4 linked regions of the Xenopus tropicalis genome follow. The protein of the gene in region 1 purifies or fractionates together with the protein of each later gene. This does not show direct contact. Links are inferred from orthologs where the notes say so. Each region holds a gene or a part of one and is shown on either strand. Other genes may lie near its edges.

Region 1 (4,679 bases):
AAAATGGCCTTGCTCCCTTAATTGTATTTATTTATTTTGCCCTTAAGCCAAATGGGTTAGATTAGATTTAGTATGTCAAACCTAGGAATTCTTTTGGGTTGGCTGTGCATAGACATATTCAGTATGTAAATCTTACCTGTGCTTCATTTGCAGGGGAAAGCAATCAATTGCCATTGATGACTGTACATTCCACCAGTGTGTCCGGCTTAGCAAATTTGACTCTGAGCGCAGCATCAGCTTTATACCTCCAGATGGAGAATTTGAGCTTATGAGGTTAGTTCTTATAATTGATATCCAAAAGTTTTTAAATTGAATTTTATTTTTTTGGGGAGTAGAGTGTCATTGCTTTAGTATACAAACGGTGAATTTACTTTTTCAGATATCGAACCACAAAAGACATCATCCTACCATTCCGTGTCATTCCTCTTGTTCGTGAAGTGGGGCGCACAAAGCTTGAGGTCAAGGTGGTCATCAAATCTAATTTTAAACCTTCACTTTTGGCTCAGAAGATTGAGGTGAGCAGTCCTTACTTGTAACCATTTTGTCACTTATATCCTGGTTCCAATTCGCTAATACATTTAATAGTCTGCAGTTTTCTCTTCATTGTGTCTTGTTCCTTTTCTCTTTGGATAGTTGGACAAGACATTGATAAATGACTGAAAAATAATGTGGTTATTAATTTTGTAGGTGAGGATTCCAACCCCACTCAACACCAGTGGAGTACAGGTCATCTGTATGAAAGGAAAAGCAAAGTATAAGGCCAGTGAGAATGCCATTGTGTGGAAGTAAGAACCTCTTATATCTTTCAATTACAGACCAGGTTTTGGGATGTCCGCATGTGGGATGATGTAAAGCAGGTCCTCATAAATGTTTTATGCCATTCTTTTATTTTATATAGTATTTTAGACAGTTTCAGTTCTAGAGCTGTGCATTCTAGGGTGGGGAAAGCACATCATCAATCCCTTTATTTTTAGAGCTATGTCCTTATGTTCATCTTGATTCAAGTTTTGGGATAGCACACCACCCCGTTACTATTTCTCCACTTTAAGTGAAGGTGCAAATGTGCTTTTTTGATTTATTTGCAGTTGCAGTGTGCACTGTAAAATCAAATGTTTAGCAGCACTGGCCCTTGAAGCACAACACTGACTAGGTGCAATACTAAGCAAAGCTAAAATACAAATGGTCCTAAAGTGATAAAGTATCTAGTTTCATCCTTTTCCAAACGAGGAGATATTTGATGATTTGACTTTGGGACCATGGGCCATATCCATGGCCCAGTGCAGTTCTAAGTTTCTGTTTTTTTTTTTGTTTGTTTGTTTGTTTTTCCAGCCCATTTTATATGTGAACTAGTGCCAGTGCTGGTCAGGAAGGCCATTGTTTTAGGCTCATATTTTTTGTTTGCAGCAAAAGAAGAGAAATTAATTTCTGTCAAAATGTATCCTCTAAAATGACATTAAAGCCCAGATTATGTCCAAACTTAAATGTTGTACTTTGATGGGGAAAGCCCCATAGAAATACATTTATTGGTTTAACACTTACTTTGCAGAATAAAGCGCATGGCTGGTATGAAGGAATCTCAGATAAGTGCAGAGATTGAGCTGCTTCCTACTAATGATAAGAAGAAATGGGCTCGGCCTCCAATATCCATGAACTTTGAGGTGAGCAAAATAAGCTTTTGGTATGGGAGCCACATGTAGGGCAGAAGATTCCCCTTAAAGAATGTAGATCTGGGAATCCATTATCCAAATTACTGGATGGCCATCTTCCATAGAGCACATTTTAAGCAAATAATTTATACTTTATTTCCTTTTTTTCCTTTAAGTAGACAAGTGGGGGTTATGTAGTAAAAGGCACTACGTTTGCCCAGGAGTAGTAGCCCATAGCAACAAATCAACAGGTAGCATTTACTAGTCACCTATTTAAAAGCAAACATCCTTATTGCTTGATATAAATAACTGCTGCTGGGCAAACTGCCTTTTATTACATATGGGGGTTATGGCCTTGTCCCACAGGGAGATTAGTCGCCCGCTGTTAAATCTCAGCTACTGCGGGTGGCTAATCTTCCTGTAATGCCCTCCCACCGCCAGTACAGTGAATTGCCGGTGGGAAGGCATTTTAGTGAGATTAGTTTGCCCAGAAGCAGGCGCTTTGTTTTCCGAAGTTTCCTTCTGACTGTAAGGTGATGGTGATCATAATTATAAAAAGACCCCTTATCCAGAGGACCCCAATGTCCCCCAGGTCCCAAGCATTCTTGATCCCATACTTATATTAGTATTTTGTTTTGGGTAGCTTATGCCCCATAAAGTTTAGCTGACGGTCTATCAAGCAGTTGTTTTTTTTTTTCTATTTTAGGTCCCGTTTGCCCCATCTGGGCTCAAAGTGCGTTACCTGAAGGTGTTTGAACCAAAACTAAACTACAGCGACCATGATGTGATCAAATGGGTGCGATACATTGGCCGCAGTGGGATCTATGAGACACGGTGTTAATACATCACAAAACTCAGAAAGAAGTGGGCCCCGTCTCTTAACTTGCATTTCTTTTTATTGAGAAAAGGAAGTCAACATGCTAACCAAGGGGTCAGAATGGGTAGGATTAAAGGTGTGAGATAGCCCTTCCTTTTTCCCACCTGACCATAATATCCACCTTTGCTCCATTATACTTTTAATAACAATTCTTGCTGTTCCCTTCTTTAGCATTGGAGAGCGTTATCATTTATAAGATGCGCTCTCTATGATATGGAGTATCCTCTGGGCCATAGCTGCTATGTGGTTTCCCAATAACCACCTCCCATCTAGCACAGACCAGGCCGTATCTTATCTCACTCCCATCTGTGAATATTGATGACCGATAGTATTCTTGTATAGTGTAGTGCTTTCCACAATCATCCCAACCTTACTACTCATCATGGAACTGGCAGCCTTCTTGGGTTCAATGTTCCCTAGTATTTCTTTCAAATATATACAATTTTAACACTGTCAAAGGCCAGCAGAGTAGGAACAACTGGGCAGAAGTTTCAGAGCATTGGGTTCAGTATGTGGCATGGGAGGTTTTGCATTGTCTCTTCATGGAATAACTCAAGCACTCTATTATATGTGACCAAATAAGAGGTGAGGGATAAGTTCTACAGGTGCTCATGTTACAGCTGAAGGTTGTGTAAGAAAGTATAAATTGTGCACTTCTGTGTCCTTTAGCTCCTGCAGTAACAGGGAGTGTATGGATTTAACCATATCATAGCCAGTTAATCATTAGTGCTGGCACAGGAATGATTTTGCTATTTGTGGCAGTGTGACTTCCCCCTCACATCTCTGTGCTCCTTGTGTTGTGATTTGCTCTGTTTTTCTTTGTGACGCTCAAACTGTACAAGTAATAAACAGCGTAGAACACATCTGTCTGTCTAGTGGTTATTTCAGCAACATTGGGACATGATTGTGGCTTATTATGGGATTTAAAATCATCGATAAACTGTACTGGTCCACGGTAGTAGATGAACTCCATAATGCAGATTGCCCTTCCCAGGACTCTTAAGGCATGCTTGGCAAATATCTTTGGCAACATAGTTACTAACCAATACTAATGTATGTGGGATCAGTGGTTGAATAAACATCCTATTTCCACCGAACATAATGAGTAGCAGCATAAATGTATTCTAGTATTTCTTTATGTACATTAGGAAGGTACCCAGAAGTGACAAACTTTTTGCTTTCTTAAGTTTTCTATGATGTTGAATGCATGTTTTTTTATTTTTACTGTATATCTTTAATTCTACTGTTTAAAAAAAAACAAAAAACGATCAAATAGGTCTTTAGCCTTCCAGACTCTAATCGTCAAACTTCTTGTCATTAGATCTGCACTCCACATGAACAATGAAACAAAGAATTAGCTGGGGGGAACAGAAAGATGCAATGTTCTTGGAAAATAACTTTATTGTTAGGCCTTATGGCATGCCTTTTTAGGTGTAAAAATGAAGCTTTTTTTGCTAGAAAATTGCATCTTCTACTTCTTTGATTCACATTCAAGAACACTATATGTAGATTAATGGAAAAACCCATATTTCAGCCTCCACTCGCATAAGTAGTGCATTTGCTGAAAAAAATGAGGTTCCCAAGAAAATGTACAATTTGATATTCGCTTATCAGAAAAACATTTTGATGGTGAATATGAAAACTGATTTATAAATGTTAAGTTATATAGTGCTTGTACTATTCATTTATTACTAGTCCCATAACACTTTTTCAACAAAAAAGTGCAGTATCAGGAATATACAGTATATTTTATTCCTAGAAGGTTCAAAGGTGTTTTTAAAGTTAATTAGTGATGCACATTTTGTTTGGGGCCAAAGCTTCCTTCTAACCTAGCATTCCCTTGTTACTGCCTGTAGGGAGGTTGGCAAATTACTTTAAAGAGATTATTTATCATTTTCATCAGTCTCTGCCTCAGTGGAGCTTACAGTTATATAAACATAAAATGTTGAACTTACTATGTTAGTCTAAGGTCCCTATCACATTTACACTAGTTAACTTCATCAAGAGCCAGTTAACCTACCTGGCCAATATAATCTGCCAACAGACCTAGTCGGCATCTTATATGGGGCCCTTCCATGGGCTTACCTGACCGATATCTGGCAGGAAATTGGGGCGAGGAGCACATTGGCTTGTTGATGCATTCCTCACCCTGACTA
Region 2 (5,367 bases), on another chromosome or scaffold:
TTTCCAAGAAGAAAGAGAAAGATTTCAAAATAAAGGAGAAACCAAAAGAAGACAAGCACAAGGAAGATAAGCACAAAGAAAAGAAGTCCAAGGACCTGACTGCAGCAGATGTAGTCAAACAGTGGAAAGAGAAGAAGAAAAAAAAGAAGCCCACTCCTGAGCCTGAGTCTCTCCCTGTGGATATCCCCAGGCTGAGGCCTATGTTTGGCATTCCTCTGGTTGAAGCTGCAGAGCGCACCATGATGTATGATGGGATAAGGTTACCAGCAGTATTTAGGGAATGCATTGACTACATAGAGCAACATGGGATGAAATGTGAAGGCATCTACAGAGTGTCTGGTAAGTCTGAAAATTATTGAAAAATACAAAACTTGTTCTGGTTAATTAACTTAACTTGCATAAATATATTAACAATACAATAATATTTACTTTCCTTAATAAGTTATATTTTACTTCTCTTATGTTTGTTTAGTTTATATCTTACCATTTACAGTGAAGGAAATAATTACTTGACCCCTCACTGATTTTGTAAGTTTGTCCAATGACAAAGAAATGAAAAGTCTCAGAACAGTATCATTTCAATGGTAGGTTTATTTTAACAGTGGCAGATAGCACATCAAAAGGAAAATCGAAAAAATAACTTTAAATAAAAGATAGCAACTGATTTGCATTTCATTGAGTGAAATAAGTTTTTGAACCCTCTAACAAAAAAAGACTTAATACTTAGTGGAAAAACCCTTGTTTGCAAGCACAGAGGTCAAACGTTTCTTGTAATTGATGACCAAGTTTGCGCACATTTTAGGAGGAATGTTGGTCCACTCCTCTTTGCAGATCATCTCTAAATCCCTAAGGTTTCGAGGCTGTCTCTGTGCAACTCTGAGCTTGAGCTCCCTCCTAGGTTTTCTATTGGATTATGGTCCGGAGACTGACTAGGCCACTCCATGACCTTAATGTGCTTCTTCTTGAGCCACTCCTTTGTTGCCTTTGCTGTATGTTTTGGGTCATTGTCGTGCTGGAACACCCATCCACGACCCATTTTCAGTTTCCTGGCAGAGGGAAGGAGGTTGTCGTTCAGGATTTCACGATACATGGCTCCGTCCATTTTCCCGTTAATGCGAATAAGTTGTCCTGTGCCCTTAGCAGAAAAACACCCCCAAAGCAAAATGTTTCCACCCCCATGCTTGACTGTGGGGACGGTGTTTTGGGGGTCATAGGCAGCATTTTTCTTCCTCCAAACACAGTCACTCACAAAATCATTCAGGTGTTCATTGGCAAACTTCAGACGGGCCTGCACATGTGCCTTCTTGAGCAGGGGGACCTTGCGAGCCCTGCAGGATTTTAATCCATTGCGGTGTAATGTGTTTCCAATGGTTTTCTTGGTGACTGTGGTCCCTGCTAATTTGAGGTCATTAACTAACTCCTCCCGTGTAGTTCTTGGATGCTTTTTCACCAATCTCAGAATCATTGACACCCCACGAGGTGAGATCTTGCGTGGAGCCCCAGAGCGAGGTCGATTGATGGTCATTTTGTGCTCCTTCCATTTTCGAACAATCGCACCAACAGTTGTCACCTTCTCTCCCAGCTTCTTGCTAATGGTTTTGTAGCCCATTCCAGCCTTGTGCAGGTCTACAATTTTGTCTCTGACATCCTTGGACAGCTCTTTGGTCTTTCCCATGTTGGAGAGTTTGGAGTCTGCTTGATTGATTGATTCTGTGGACAGGTGTCTTTTATACAGGTGACTCGTTAAGACAGGTGTCCTTAATGAGGTCGACTAATTGAGTAGAAGTGTCTAACCACTCTGTGGGAGCCAGAACTTTTAATGGTTGGTAGGGGTTCAAAAACTTATTTCACTCAATGAAATGCAAATCAGTTGCTATCTTTTATTTAAAGTTATTTTTTCGATTTTCCTTTTGATGTGCTATCTGCCACTGTTAAAATAAACCTACCATTGAAATGATACTGTTCTGAGACTTTTCATTTCTTTGTCATTGGACAAACTTACAAAATCAGTGAGGGGTCAAATAATTATTTCCTCCACTGTACATGGGTTATTAAATGTTTGGTGTTGCTAATGGTTTAAGATTTTACATTATTTTCAGTTAAAGATGTATACCTTTTGAATTCTGGCAACAGTATCCCTTTAAGTATAGTCAGCAGTTAGCATGGAGTTGAAGTAAAAATCCAATGAAATGCCCCATACCGAGACACAAGCAGCACTATATACATTTATTGGAGATAAAATAAGGGCAGGACCACGTGTATAAAATGCTGTTACATTCTTGTTATATTCTTTTATATATTATATTCTTTTATAAAGTGTATATATGAACTTATTTAGTGCTTATTATTTTTGCTTTCCCAGGAATAAAGTCGAAGGTGGATGAGCTAAAGGCAGCTTATGACAGAGGGGAGTCTCCAAACCTGGAGGATTATGAGCCATACACAGTGGCAAGTTTATTAAAGCAATACCTGCGGGAGCTACCAGAAAATGTGCTGACCAAAGATCTAATGCCACGGTTTGAGGAGGCGTGTGGCAAAAGTACAGAAGGGGAGAGGCTGCAGGAGTGTCAGCGCTTATTGAAGGAACTGCCAGAATGCAACTTCTGCCTGACTTCATGGCTAATAGTGCACATGGACCATGTCATAGAGAAGGAACTTGAAACAAAAATGAACATACAGAACATTTCTATTGTGCTGAGCCCTACTGTTCAGGTACAAAAGAAACGACTGCCAGAGTTTGGCACAGTGTATGGGATTAATCATGTTTTCTGTGAGTGAGTGATCTACTTGTGTGAATGTGCAGTATGTGGGCTTCCAATTAATTTACTTTCCTTCTTATTTTGCAAAATGAGCTGTGTACTACCAACAGTACTACTAACAATATGCTATTGGAGAATAGGGAAATGCAATTTATAGTTTCAAGAAAGAGTTCACCTTTATTAAAATGTAGACAGTGACAGATATTTTGAGGCAGTTCGTAATTACTCTTTATTTTTTTAGTTATTGAATTTTGAGTTATTTAGCTTTTTGTTGAGCAACTCTCCAACTGCTGAACCCTAGCAACTAAATAGCAGCTATCTAATAGCGGGGTCCAATTTACTCTAGTAACTAAGCAGTGGCGCGAATGGGAGACTGAAAGTAATTAAAGGTATCAATAACAATAAAACTGCAGCCTCACAGAGCAAAGCTAGTAATTCAGAAAATAGAAAAAAAAAACTGAAACCCCCCAAAAAATTTAATAAAAAACAAAAATGTAAAAGGTGCTAAGAATACTCCATTCTATAACACACTAAATTTTAATTTAAATGTGAACTACACAAAGAAATGGATGGTTAATTATTTTAAAAGGGGATGTTCACGTTAAAAATAGCTTTTATTTTGATGTAGAATTAAGCATTTTAGTACAAATTGCCATTGCACCTTGTTTGATACTGAAGTGATGGATACTGGGACTTGAAGTAGCCCAGAAGTCCCAGAATCCTTCATTCAGTATGGAGTAAGGTTGGAGCTGAATCTCTTCAATGCCTGGGCTTGGGAAATGGTCCCTGTAAAAAAGAGGCAGACTATGGTTGAACAGAACAAGCTTATGTCTAAGAGAGGGGGGGGGGGGGGGGACTGGACAGAGCTTCTGGTGGAGTTTGTACTTAGCATTTAGCTGCTCAGTTCCATCAATTGCCATTCTTTGATTTTAGCTGATGACCATTTGTAAAGATTCTTTTCCATTTCCCCCTAATTGTGCATATATGAACTACTATTTATTTTACTGAAAAAAACAAATTATCCTCTTTTCATTAATTCTGCTGAGCCAGTTGGCTTGTATATAGGACTGTTGAACATTAGACATTGGGTGAGATGGAGGCCTATTAACTAAACAAAAATAGGACTACAACTTGAATTCAAGCCCCTATCAGTCAGCCCATATTTAGATGATGCTGGAGATTTTCTAAAGGCTAAATCTGTTCTTCCTTCCTTCCTTGATCCCTCTGGAAAACAGACAATAGCTGATGGGTTTCATGAGCTTTTGTCTGAAAAAAAAAAGTGGCAAATGCTGATATATTTACATTTAGAGATTTAGTATCTGTTGAGGAAATCTAAGCATTCTGTGTTGTAAAATGATTTTACTGTCAACAGTAATCAGTTTTGTAGATTGCCAAGGATGGTTTTTTTTTTTTTCCCCGTAAACTTACATTTAAGTTGTTATATAAAGTACTGTTTCCGGATAATCGCAACGCATTATATAAATACATTTGCCTTAATAGTGTTATACTTAAGTTGTATTTTAATAGCAAAGTAACTTTGGCTTCCATTTAAATACTTAGGGAAATATTTATCAAGGTGTGAGATTAGAGCTCACCACAGAAATATTCACCCACTTCCTATTAATTTCTGTGGGATGTTCAGAGGGGTTCTTTATCAAATGGTGAGCTCTAACTTTTCACCCCTTTATAAACACACTTTTGAAAATCCCTTAGAAATCAATAGAGAGTGGGTTAAATTTTATGTTGTGGGCTTTAACCTCACGTTTTGATAACTCTTTCCCATAATGTGTAATATATATGTAATCACATAAAATAATACAAATAGAGGATAAATGTAATTTTGCTATTGAAAAAAGTGTCTGTTTGAGGGGTGAGAGAATATAAACACCCAGACAATGTTGCAAGCCTGCTGAATAAGAGGCCTAGAGTAGAACAGACTCCAGTTACATTGTTTTAATGTTGCTAGTCATGATTTTTCTTTACATGCCCTGGACAGTAAGGGGTATATTTATCATGCCATGTAAAACGTGGAGTGAAGCATTACTGGTGATGTTGCCCAGGGCAACCAATCAGCAATTAGATTTCAACAGTTAGAAAATCAAAGCAAAGCATCTGATTGGCTGCTATGAGCAACATCACTGGTAATGTTTCACTCCACTTTTTAGGGCTCTGGCACACGGGGAGATTAGTCGCCCGCGGCAAAACTCCCTGTTCGCGGGCGACTAATCTCCCCGAGTTGCCTTCCCCTGCCATCCCACCGGCGAACATGTAAGTCGCCGGCGGGATGGCAGACGCGGCGGGGCGATTTCGGGAAATCGCCGAAAAAGACTCGCGAGTCTTTTTCGGCGATTTGCGCTAAATCGCGCCGCCGCGTCTGCCATCCCACCGGTGACTTACATGTTTGCCGGTGGGATGGCAGGGGAAGGCAACTGTGCCAGGTGACATCATTAAGCGTCAGTAATAATGGTTTGATATATAAGAGCCTTGAATATCTTAAAAAAAAAAAACAGGGCTAACTTATTTCATTAGGGGGGTTAAAAGTCACCTTGGAGTTTCACAACATGTATAAAAGCACTCAGACTTATATATATAGTGAAAGGTAATCCTT
Region 3 (5,367 bases), on another chromosome or scaffold:
CTTGCTGTGCTTGAATTTTTTTTTAAAAAAAATTCTCCTTCATATAAAGCTGGCCATACACGTGGCGATCCGACGATGTTTCGTACGACCATCGGTCGCACGAAACATCGTCAGATCCGCCACACACCATTCAGGGCTGAATCGGCAGGTAAGGAGGTAGAAACAATAGGATTTCTACCTCCTTCTGCCGATTCAGCTCTGAAGGGAGAATTTTGGTCAGGCGCCTTCTATGGCGCCCGATCAAAATTTTCTAACCTGGCCGATCGACGAGCCGACCGATTTCAGCAGCTTCCTGCGACATCGGTCGGCTCGCTGACATACCATACACGCACCGATTATCGTACGAAACGAGGTTTCGTACGATAATATCGGTGCGTGTATGGCCACCTTAAGTTAGAGGCCAGTATATTTATTTTTATTCTTTTCTTTGTTACATTTCATCATTTTCTTTTCCTGACTTTTTTAAACTCACCTAGTGCTTTCCACAGTATATTCTTTATCTTTAGCCAGATGTGCCACTTTTGTACCCTGTCTTTCCCTTTTTATACAGTTACACAACTACAATTTTTTTTGCAGGTTTTAGCTATTAATATTTTGGGAAGATTCTTGTTAAATAATGATAAAAATATTCGGTAAGTTTCATCAACTTTTGTATTTATTGTTATAATGAAATGCAAGAGGGCATAATGTAAAAAAGTATCTTCTCTTTTCTAGGTATGTGGCCTTGACATCTCTTCTAAAAACAGTACAGACTGACCACAATGCAGTGCAGAGGCATCGTAGCACCATTGTAGATTGTCTGAAGGATTTGGATGTATCTATTAAACGGTAAGAGACTACCTAAAATGCCCCAAGAGCTAATACTTGTTATAGTAGACACAACCAAAAGTTGTGATGTATGGTATTTTATAATATAGATAACAGTAAATACTTTGTTTGTTGTGTGATGATTATTAAGTGATCCATCGGCAGAGACTTACCGTGCTGAGATCCTAAAACCTGACAACAACCAGACCTGTTACTCAGACCACCAGTTACTTAGGCTGCCATCAGAAAGCCAGGCATTGTCTTCATTATGCCCTTTTGTATTTTGTTTTTTGTAAGGCGAGCAATGGAGCTTAGCTTTGCTTTGGTGAATGGGAATAATATCCGTGGAATGATGAAAGAGCTTCTGTATTTTCTGGACTCCTGTGAACCTGAATTTAAAGCTGACTGTGCTTCGGGCATCTTCTTAGCTGCAGAAAAGTAAGTAACTTGCAGTGTTATTATACACCACTTGCTCTTGCTCAATACAGTGACACTGCGCAAAGGACATTACAATGCAACCAAAACCCTACAAAATATAAGGCTAAAATGTAATCCATATGCTGGACTAATATGTTATGGGGTACAGTTACTGTGTGATAGTGCAAATCTATAACTGCAAAGTTGCCACCTGAATCTCCTTCGCTTAACAGGGTCTTTCTACAACCTTTCTTCCCCCACCCCATCCTTTAGCTGATTGTACACACTCAACACTCAGGTATCAATGCTAAGTATTGGTCCCTTCAGCCTATAGGCCAATCAGTCTGATACCATACAGGATCAGCCTGTGTATGGCACCTGTAGTAACACAATTGTGTCTGGTATAGTGAACTCTGTGGATATCCTAAGCATAATTTTGTTAGGTATTTGTGTAATGTCTATTAATATTTAGGGCTGTGTTTTTTCCTCATTTCAGGCCCATCAGTGAAGGGACATACATTTACAAAGCAATTATCTCTGTGCTGGGAGTATAGTAAACCGTGTCAGTGCATTAAAATGCTAGTTTGCATAGTATAGCATATTTGCCTCTCTATTCTATTCTAGAAGAGAGTGGGTGCAATCACTATATAACATTTCTTCATATTATGACCATTTCATGTACGGTGTTCTCCAGCATGTAATGTGACATGACTAGGACACATCTAGATCACCATTCACTCAGTTTACAAGGCGTAATATACATTTATAGTGCAGGTTTTTCCTCACTAGGTTTTTGTTAGAAGTATAACAACTACTATTAACTAAAGAAGGCATGCTGGAAATTTTATTTGCTGCAGAGGATATTGTTGGCTTTCATAATTTTGAGATATTAGAGTTATTTTCCTTTATTTACATAGCACTGACATTTTCAGCAATTCTTTTTTCAAGAACCAGTTAACCTGCCTTTAAATTTTAAAACCGTGTCAGATAAGGATTACATAGAAGAAAACTATTATGGGGAGAATGGGGAGAACATACAAACTAGGGATGCACCGAATCCCAGATTCGGTTCGGGAATCAGGCCAAATCCAATCTTTTTTTTTTTTTTTTTTTTTTATTGAAGGATTTGGAAGGAATCCGCGGTCCTGGGCACACTGAATCCAAATCCTAATTTGCATATGCTAATTAGCATTCGGAAGGGTTAAATGGGGGGGGGGGGGGGGGGAATTTTCGCCGTGCAACGCGTGCCAATTTTTAACCCTTCCCCATTCTAATTAGCATATGCTTCCGTTTGGGATTCGGCAGAATCAGTCAGGGTGGTTCCGGTGCATCCCTAATACAAGCACACTGCAGTTTTACAGGATCAGAAATGCTAGCAGAATAACTGGTACAGATATGGGATCCCTTATCCGGAAACCCGTTTTTGGGTTTATTCAATATTTAAATAATTTTTTAGCAGACTTAAGTTATGCAGATCCAAATTACCCCATGCAGAGCAGAGCATTCTGAATAACAGGTCCTATACCTGTATTATTGCAATGAATGTATTGCAATACAATACAGTATATGTTGCAGAGCTACATGTCTGCGAAATTTAGAACTGTGTTTGCACTTCTGTTTTTAATGTTTTGCTACTAATGAGATTATTTTTGACCACTTTACTCTTTTAGATATGCCCCTTCAAAGCGTTGGCACATAGATACAATTATGAGAGTTCTTACAACAGTAAGTAAAGATTTAAAAGAAAACTACCCTAAGCATTTCCTTGTTAACCTTCATGATGTGGTCAGATAAAAGTTCCTCACTGCAGTGTTGATCAGTATTATCATAGTGTGCAAAGCATCTGTATAGCCGCATATTCCTAATATGTGGTTCCTTAGGCTCTCTTGGGGGTCATACAAATTCAATGAGTTGAAAGTGAAAATTTGGCCTTTAAACCTTTATTCTACTGTTGTCCCATTCACCTTTCTTTTTTCTTTACTCTTGCTTTCATTATTTTTGTAGGCTGGAAGCTATGTACGAGATGATGCAGTTCCAAATCTTATTCAGCTAATTACAAATAGCTCAGAGATGCATGAATATACTGTACAAAAGCTCTACAAGGCCATTCTGGATGATATTTCCCAGGTAAAGAACTGAATTTTACACAAAGAAGGAATTTGATTGGTAAAGAGTTATATTATGGACAGTTATGTTCATGTTAATCGCTACATTTAAGCCATTGACATAGTATACAACATAAATTGATTTATGATTTTTGCCATTGGCTTTATACTTTAGCAACCACTGGTCCAAGTTTGCTCATGGTGCATAGGTGAATATGGAGACCTGCTGGTTTCGGGCCAGTGTGAGGAAGAGGAACCTATCCAGGTAATTGGGGTCCCTAAAGAAACTAGTATTGTTTGATTTGTCTGGCACTTCCTAAGATTGTATTTCTTAAATTTAGGTTACGGAAGATGAGGTGCTGGATATTTTAGAAAGCATTTTGATCTCCAACATGTCCACATCTGTTACGCGAGGTTTTGCCCTGACGGCCATCATGAAAAACTCCACTAGGTTTAACAACACTGTTAAGTAGGTATCTTTTTTTGAGTTGAGGATGATAAAATGTTTAGGGAAGGGCACACAGGGAAGCAGAGTTATCAGTTTTTGAGTTTAAGGGGAAAAAACATGATTGTGGGGAAAAAAAGACAAAATTCAGGTGACGTGACTGCAACTTTTTATATGCTCAAGCTTTAGGCTATTTAAGAAAAAACTAATAGTTGTGGTTGCTGTTTTTCACAGAAGTTGTTTGACACAGTTCAATAGAAACAGCAGCTTTTCTCTTACAAGTTTCTTTATTTAAAGGAGAAGAAAGGCTAGTAAAGAGTTAATCTCAAGCTGCAGGCATACCTTCAATTGTCTCAATAGTGCCCTTAAGTCTCCCCATATTTCACCTGTTCAGAAGATCAGAAGCCAAACAGGAAGAAAAACACTGAGCTGTGTAAAGAAAGTTCCCATAATGCCTCACTCCTGCACAGACACCCAGACCAAGTGAACATGCTCAGTTAGTTAGACTATGAGTCAGCTTCCTGCTGATTGGCTCTGGTTTCTGTGAGTGCTTTTGGCTGTATTTACATAGACCTTTCTGATAAAGCTTACTTAGTTTTTACCTTTCTTTCTCCTTTAACTTTCACGTTTTTTTAAACTTGAATTGTAAAAAGGTGTGCGCCAGTTTATAAATATTCTTTTCTTTCCTATAAGCATTTCAGTACAGACAGTGATCTGACTATAGCCATGAATATTTCATCTAGGTGAGAGATAATGTTCATCCTCAGGTGTCTAGTGCCAGCAGTGCGCATGAAAACCAGGGCACTAATGATGGGATTTGTCCCAATTCTAAACCAGACTCTGGATTTGTTGCATCCTTATTTTTTTCTCTTTATGTATGTATGTATAACTTTATGTATGTGTGTATAATAAATACAATAATTAAGTATTAATACCCAGAGATTAGATGCCATGCGGTATGAGACCCATAAGGAAGGATGTCTCTGCTTGTATAGCTTATGTTTCTTTAATTTGCTACTCCAAAAGAAGCTAGAGTTCAGGGTCCTGAATGGACCTAATGGATTTGTAATGTTCCATTTGTTTGTTTTTTTTGTAGCCGTATTAAAAAAGTGGTATCCATCTATGGCAGCAGCATTGATGTTGAGTTGCAGCAAAGGGCAGTAGAATACAATGCTTTATTCAAGAAATATGACCACATGAGGTAAGGAATAGCCTTATTACAGCTTATGGCTATCACAGTTATTCCATGAGAAGGAAAGCTCATAGGAACTTAATCCTTCTAGGCCTGCACTCCTTGAAAGAATGCCTATTATGGAGAAAGCATTGACAAATGGACCAACAGACTTGGCACAAACAAATGGAGAAACAGACCCTGCAGTTATTGACTCTAAGCCAGTTCAGTCTATTCAGCAGCCTTCTAGCCAGGTAACATCTAAACTCCGCTAAAACAGGTTCTGCCTATGTCGCAAAAGTCAGTTTAAAGGACAGCACTTGCATAAAATATTTCTTCTCTAATTTTTGTCCCTTAACACAGTGTGATTTCATTATTACAGGCTAATGACTTATTAGATTTGTTGGGCGGAAATGATATTC
Region 4 (5,367 bases), on another chromosome or scaffold:
TACGCAAGTTGGAGAGCAACAGCATGCACAGGCTGATATGGGGCCTTTACTTACCGCCTGCTTTGTGGCAATTAAAACGTGTCAAAAACAAAATGTTTCTGCACAAGCATATGTAGGAATGTAGTAATGAAGGAACCTTTATTCCCCTAGAAACATTTCATATACATTAATGTTTAAGCCCTATTGAGCTGTGGCTTGTTTTACTTGTATTGGTTATCATATGTATTTTGTACAATGTATTTAATCTACATATTCAGTTTATACACCCATCAGTGTTGTTGAATGTGTTTGTATTTTATGTGTTAACACTACTAGTAAAACCAGTGTTCTACTACTGCTACTTCTACTAATAATAATTATTAAGATACTGTATAACGAACACCATTATTATACCAGTATACACATTTACACTGCAGCTCACACTGGGCAAGAGTACTGTTATAAAGAACCCTTTGCTTTACTTAGGATTTTTTTGTTGTGGTTGATATATTGTTTGGAATGTGGGACTCAAGTATTTAGCAACAAGTTCACAAATTATTGAGCTTTTAACAAAAACGACAATTTGCAATGGATTACTAAGATGCGAGTACAGCAAATTACGACTTATTAACAGTACAGCCACAAGACATCCTTATACTGCCATTATTACACCAGCGAAACATCAAAAATACTGCAAATGCATCTGATGAAAAAAAGAGTTTGTGCTTTTATTTTAAATAAGAAAGAGGAATTTAAAAAAGGTGGAAGGAAAGGAAACATTTTCATACAGGTTTATTTATATATTTTGTAATAGCAATAATGGTTGTGTTTTGCTGTTGGGTGGTTGAATTAAAAAGCATTTCAAACCTCAATTTTAGCACTTTTGGTTTAGTTAAAGGGTTACAGCAAAAAGCAGTAATTAAGGCTGTATCATTTTTTTAATAGTATCAGCAAGCACTTCAACAGCAGATTCTTCAGCAGCAATTTCTGATGCATTCCATTTACCAGCAGCAACAGCATCCACTTACATTTCCAACCATGGTAAGAAAAATACACTAATAAGCAGATTTAGTAAAATTTGGGCTAGTGAATTAAGAATTTGCATCAGTTGCAAAATTTTTGTAAAGCTCCTATTAATTTATTGAAGTGGATCAATGTGTTAGTTCATCATAGACTATAGTCACATTCAATCCTGTTCTGTGGGTGTTAAAAAAAAAAAAAACGTTCTCATCAAACAAGTCTTGTCAGAGTAGTGACCTTACGCTTGATATTGATTGTAATATGATAGTAAAATAAAGCCAATGTTAATAGTGTACCATATCACATTTTCTTGCGCATAGTTCATGGGTGCTTTTTTTGTGGGGTTTGAAGTCCCTGTTACTGTTTTCTTTTGTTTGAGCTTCCCACTAAATATATCCTTGTTTTAGTAAACTTTTAGGAGCCACATTTCTTAAATCTAAAGCCTGTTATGAGGCAAGAGATGCCTTCAGCTATGTCATGGGTATTTTCCATAACAAAGAAAAACCTGAGTCAATTGCTCTTTTTATTAGTTTGACTGAAATGCTATGGTTATAACACAGAATGATCTAGTTGTGAAATTGTCATACATTTCTGCTCCAGTATATTTTATATCATGTTTTCAAAGGTTCATCAATATCAACAGACACATATACAGCATCAACCGCAAGTCCTTGTTCAGCATCAGCCGCATATTCAGCACCTGAGATCTCCTCAAGAGATTACACCAGTTTCATATGCAGCCTCATTATCTGAGCAAGTGGGAGGACTGGGAAACTCATGCAGTACCAGGTAATAAGAAATGTGGTATATTAAAACCACCTAGTACAACTAAACTCAAAATCTAGGTATTTTCATATTAACATAGGAATGCCCCGAATTCACTATTTTGGGATTCGGCTAAACCCCCAATCCTTTGTGAAAGATTCGGGCGAATACCGAATCGAATCCTAATTTGCATATGCAGATCAAATAAACGAAGGTTTAAAAAGAAAAATTTTCAACTTCCTTGTTTATGTGATGAAAAGTCACATGATTTTAAGGATACAGATTCGGCCAGGACCATAGATTCAGCTGAATCCGAATCCTGCTGAAAAAGGCAGAATCTTGGCCAAATCCCAAACCGAATCCTGGACTCTTTGCATCCCTATATTAACAACAGTTTTGATGTAGAGACAACCAGGTAGTGAAGAGTCTTGCACTGAGGGTGTTGTTAATCTTAAGGTAATGGGATAAGTAAAAAACAATGGCAAGTATAGAAGGCTGGCCAGTTCAGCTTATTTTGACCTTAATGTCTGACCACCTAGGCCCGTCATGGGGACCCTGAGGCTTATGATCCTGCTATCTTGCTGGATCAAGAATTATTGGCCCTGATGCAGAGGCATTTTGACCCCAGTGCCATCTTGAGGTGGTGTGGGTGATGCTTCCTGCCACTCTGCACTTAAGAATTTTGACTCTTCTAGTGCAGAAAGCGCTATTGATGCATAAAAACTATTTCAGAGTTGCAATTTCAGCTCTTAAAGTTATCAGGATCTGCATCTCTGCAGTTACTTATTTCATCCTGCTGTTCTGGTCTTTGGGGAGATGGACTCCAACAAATGGAACAATTGCAAAATTTCAATGGACATGTATGGCCTGTCTTTACAGGGGTAGTTCACCTTACAATTACCCTTTAGTTAGTATAGAACTAGTATTCTAAGAAAATTTGTAAATGGTCTTCATGTTTTTATTTTTTTTGTATTTTTTGTGGTATTTACTTGTTATTGTTCTGCAGGTCACAGGCTTGAAATTTCCACTTCTGTCTAGGTGCCCTAGCAAAAGGAAATGATAAGAAGTGGGGCCAAATAGAAATATATAAGCAATAAAAAATTAATAACAATACAGCTATAGCTTTATGGCGTTCTTGGCTTCAGAGGTAATTTACAGCTGGGAAACAGGCAGAACAGTAACACTAACAAGGCTAGTATTTGTATTATTAAAGGAGATGTCAACCCTAATTTTAATTTCACTTCTAATGGATAGGGCGCCTTACCCCCACTTAAACGTTTTGCGTGTCATCCGGCGGCCATTTTGCGCGCCTGACCTCTTCAAGGATTTTTTTTTAAGCTTCTGCTTTTTTAAACAAAGCTGACAGACAGCTTTTTCCTTAAAATGAAACTGTTAGGGCATTAAAGAACAATAAAATTAAACAGGAATGAAGTGTACATTGCTTAAGTATTTCAGCAAACACTGTTTAAGCTTGCAAGACTCACTTACAAAATACCTGCAGTTCAGATTCAGCGGTGAAAAGGTTAAACTTTCCTGCCTGCAGTCAGAAGAACATGTTCCAAGAGAGGGAGCAGAGAGCTCTTGTTTACAAAGGCAGAGTTAGTATAGCAACTGTCTATGAGATCGGCTCATTGGAGGATTGACTGTGGGCGTGGTTAAAGAGTTCAATCATCTGCTGTGTAGAGAAGAGATTCATCTCAAGTGAGCATGCTCATTAAAACGGCTTGGAACTGGGCATGTGCATCACGCCAGGCAGACAAGGAGATTCTGAAGGGAGGGGGGAGAGGGAGTTACACAGCTCTGCAGTGAGAGAAACTCCAAGGGATTGCTGCAGCTTCAGTGTTTGCTTCTGAGGGACAGGAGTGGCACATATTTAAATAGTGCTGTGAGGCTTTTCTCTGCTAAAATTATTGGTTGGGGGGTTGACATGTCCTTTAAAAATATTTGAGCCCTAAGGGATTCATATCTGTTCAAATTCTATTCAAAGGGTAGTTACATACATGGTACCATTGTAATATAGACTGAAACAAGACACATTTACATCCTTTTGGTCTAAATAAAACCTAACTGCTGGTTGATCCAGAACCCCATCTGGAGCTTTTCCGATTTTCTTCAGAGGAGGAGAAAACTAGTTCCTGACTTCAAAGTGGCATTTGCACCAGTCCCAGGCTTAACTTTGTACTAATATTAATTATTCATGGGAGCACTTACTGGTCACAGCTGTGTACTGCCGAGACCCAGACAGCATATCACTCCACCAATCAGAAAAAATGTACCGTGCACCCAAACATCGCTGGATAAAAATCACTGTTTATTCAGTCCATTTAAAAAACAGGCTATGTACCATTCGCTTGACGCGTTTCATGGCCTCACGCCGCTTCCTCAAAAGCTGCATTGTACTAAGATTTCAGTAATCTTATTTATCTGCCAGTACAACCATTTCAGTACCATCGTGATTGCATTATTGGAAGAGTTTATATGCCAAGAACTTCCTGTATCAGTCCATTTGCTCTAAATTTATTGCTAGATATGCCATGAACTGGATGAATAAAAACCTTCATAGACATAGTCCTATGCTTGGAATTTTTTTCAGCTGATGTATTCTTCTTGTTCTTTCTCTACCCTGCTTTCAAGTCGTGGTACAGAAAACTCGTTGCCATGTGGGGCTACAGTTTTATTATTGTTATTGTCAAACCCCTGTGTATATACTTGTTTGGTAAAAAACTGCCACTGCTGTAATGCCAAGATAATTTTGAATTGGAATTTGCTTTCCAGTTAGCACTTACATGCCTAAGGGCATTTTAAGGACAAGGAATCCCCCCCCCCCCCCCCAATCTTTAAAAGATAATTGTTTCTTTTGGGGCAGATATTAGTGAATATGTTGGTAACAAATAATAATGTGCATATGTGTATATGTGTATATATATATATATATATATATATATATAACTCAACAGTAGAAAGCACTCACACCTATAGCATCAATCAAGTCAGTGATTTATTTCAGCATACCATCTACGCGTTTCCATCACCACAGGATCATCATCATCAGGATCCTGTGGTGATCGTAACGCGTAGATGGTATGCTGAAATAAATCACTGACTTGATTGATGCTATAGCTGTGAGTGCTTTCTACTGTTGAGTTTGATGCATTATTTTTGTCAGCACCCAGCCGTTGCCCCGATATTGGTGAGTGCCGATTCTTTACGAGACTATATATATATAATATAAATATATATAATATATATATTTATATATTTTTTTTCTTAGATCTACGAACATTTCAGAAATGGAAACTGGTTCTAGTGTTCCTAAACACAACAGCAGCAACCCACCAGATATGTCTGGGTGGAACCCATTCGGAGATGACAATTTCTCTAAGTTAACAGAAGAAGAATTACTGGACAGGGAATTTGACCTTCTAAGATCAAGTAAGGGGCGATTGAAGGCCTATTTTGCATCACAATAATATGGACAAATCGTTAACTGCCAGAGGCTGTACTGGCACAAGGACCACAAACTTTGCATTATAAAACTTCTCTTTCTAAGTGTCCAAGGGCAACACTGAGTTCTGTGATTACAAGGAACATGGTATATACTGT

The links.
Region 2: the proteins of ap2m1 (region 1) and ralbp1 purify together in Homo sapiens (affinity purification with mass spectrometry; 3 studies listed by BioGRID and IntAct, counting the BioPlex papers as one, with this or other methods). This does not show direct contact. The link is inferred for Xenopus tropicalis from reciprocal best matches to the Homo sapiens genes AP2M1 and RALBP1.
Region 3: the proteins of ap2m1 (region 1) and ap1g1 purify together in Homo sapiens (affinity purification with mass spectrometry; 3 studies listed by BioGRID and IntAct, counting the BioPlex papers as one, with this or other methods). This does not show direct contact. The link is inferred for Xenopus tropicalis from reciprocal best matches to the Homo sapiens genes AP2M1 and AP1G1.
Region 4: the proteins of ap2m1 (region 1) and bmp2k purify together in Homo sapiens (affinity purification with mass spectrometry; 3 studies listed by BioGRID and IntAct, counting the BioPlex papers as one, with this or other methods). This does not show direct contact. The link is inferred for Xenopus tropicalis from reciprocal best matches to the Homo sapiens genes AP2M1 and BMP2K.

The regions. Positions count from the first base shown.
Region 1 is NC_030681.2:100,103,231-100,107,909, reverse strand, and holds the end of ap2m1 (AP-2 complex subunit mu), read left to right. Parts: intron 1-153; coding exon 154-273; intron 274-379; coding exon 380-515; intron 516-687; coding exon 688-785; intron 786-1,546; coding exon 1,547-1,658; intron 1,659-2,352; coding exon 2,353-2,487; 3' UTR 2,488-3,386; downstream 3,387-4,679.
Region 2 is NC_030682.2:104,592,116-104,597,482, forward strand, and holds part of ralbp1 (ralA-binding protein 1), read left to right. Parts: coding exon 1-339; intron 340-2,362; coding exon 2,363-2,712; intron 2,713-5,367. UniProt on the Homo sapiens protein: Multifunctional protein that functions as a downstream effector of RALA and RALB. As a GTPase-activating protein/GAP can inactivate CDC42 and RAC1 by stimulating their GTPase activity.
Region 3 is NC_030680.2:59,354,018-59,359,384, forward strand, and holds part of ap1g1 (AP-1 complex subunit gamma-1), read left to right. Parts: intron 1-576; coding exon 577-632; intron 633-714; coding exon 715-828; intron 829-933; exon of another isoform or gene 934-1,012; intron 1,013-1,104; coding exon 1,105-1,245; intron 1,246-2,894; coding exon 2,895-2,949; intron 2,950-3,228; coding exon 3,229-3,351; intron 3,352-3,504; coding exon 3,505-3,594; intron 3,595-3,670; coding exon 3,671-3,798; intron 3,799-4,870; coding exon 4,871-4,975; intron 4,976-5,057; coding exon 5,058-5,199; intron 5,200-5,327; coding exon 5,328-5,367. UniProt on the Homo sapiens protein: Subunit of clathrin-associated adaptor protein complex 1 that plays a role in protein sorting in the late-Golgi/trans-Golgi network (TGN) and/or endosomes.
Region 4 is NC_030677.2:94,841,687-94,847,053, forward strand, and holds part of bmp2k (BMP-2-inducible protein kinase), read left to right. Parts: intron 1-924; coding exon 925-1,020; intron 1,021-1,624; coding exon 1,625-1,788; intron 1,789-5,035; coding exon 5,036-5,196; intron 5,197-5,367. UniProt on the Homo sapiens protein: May be involved in osteoblast differentiation.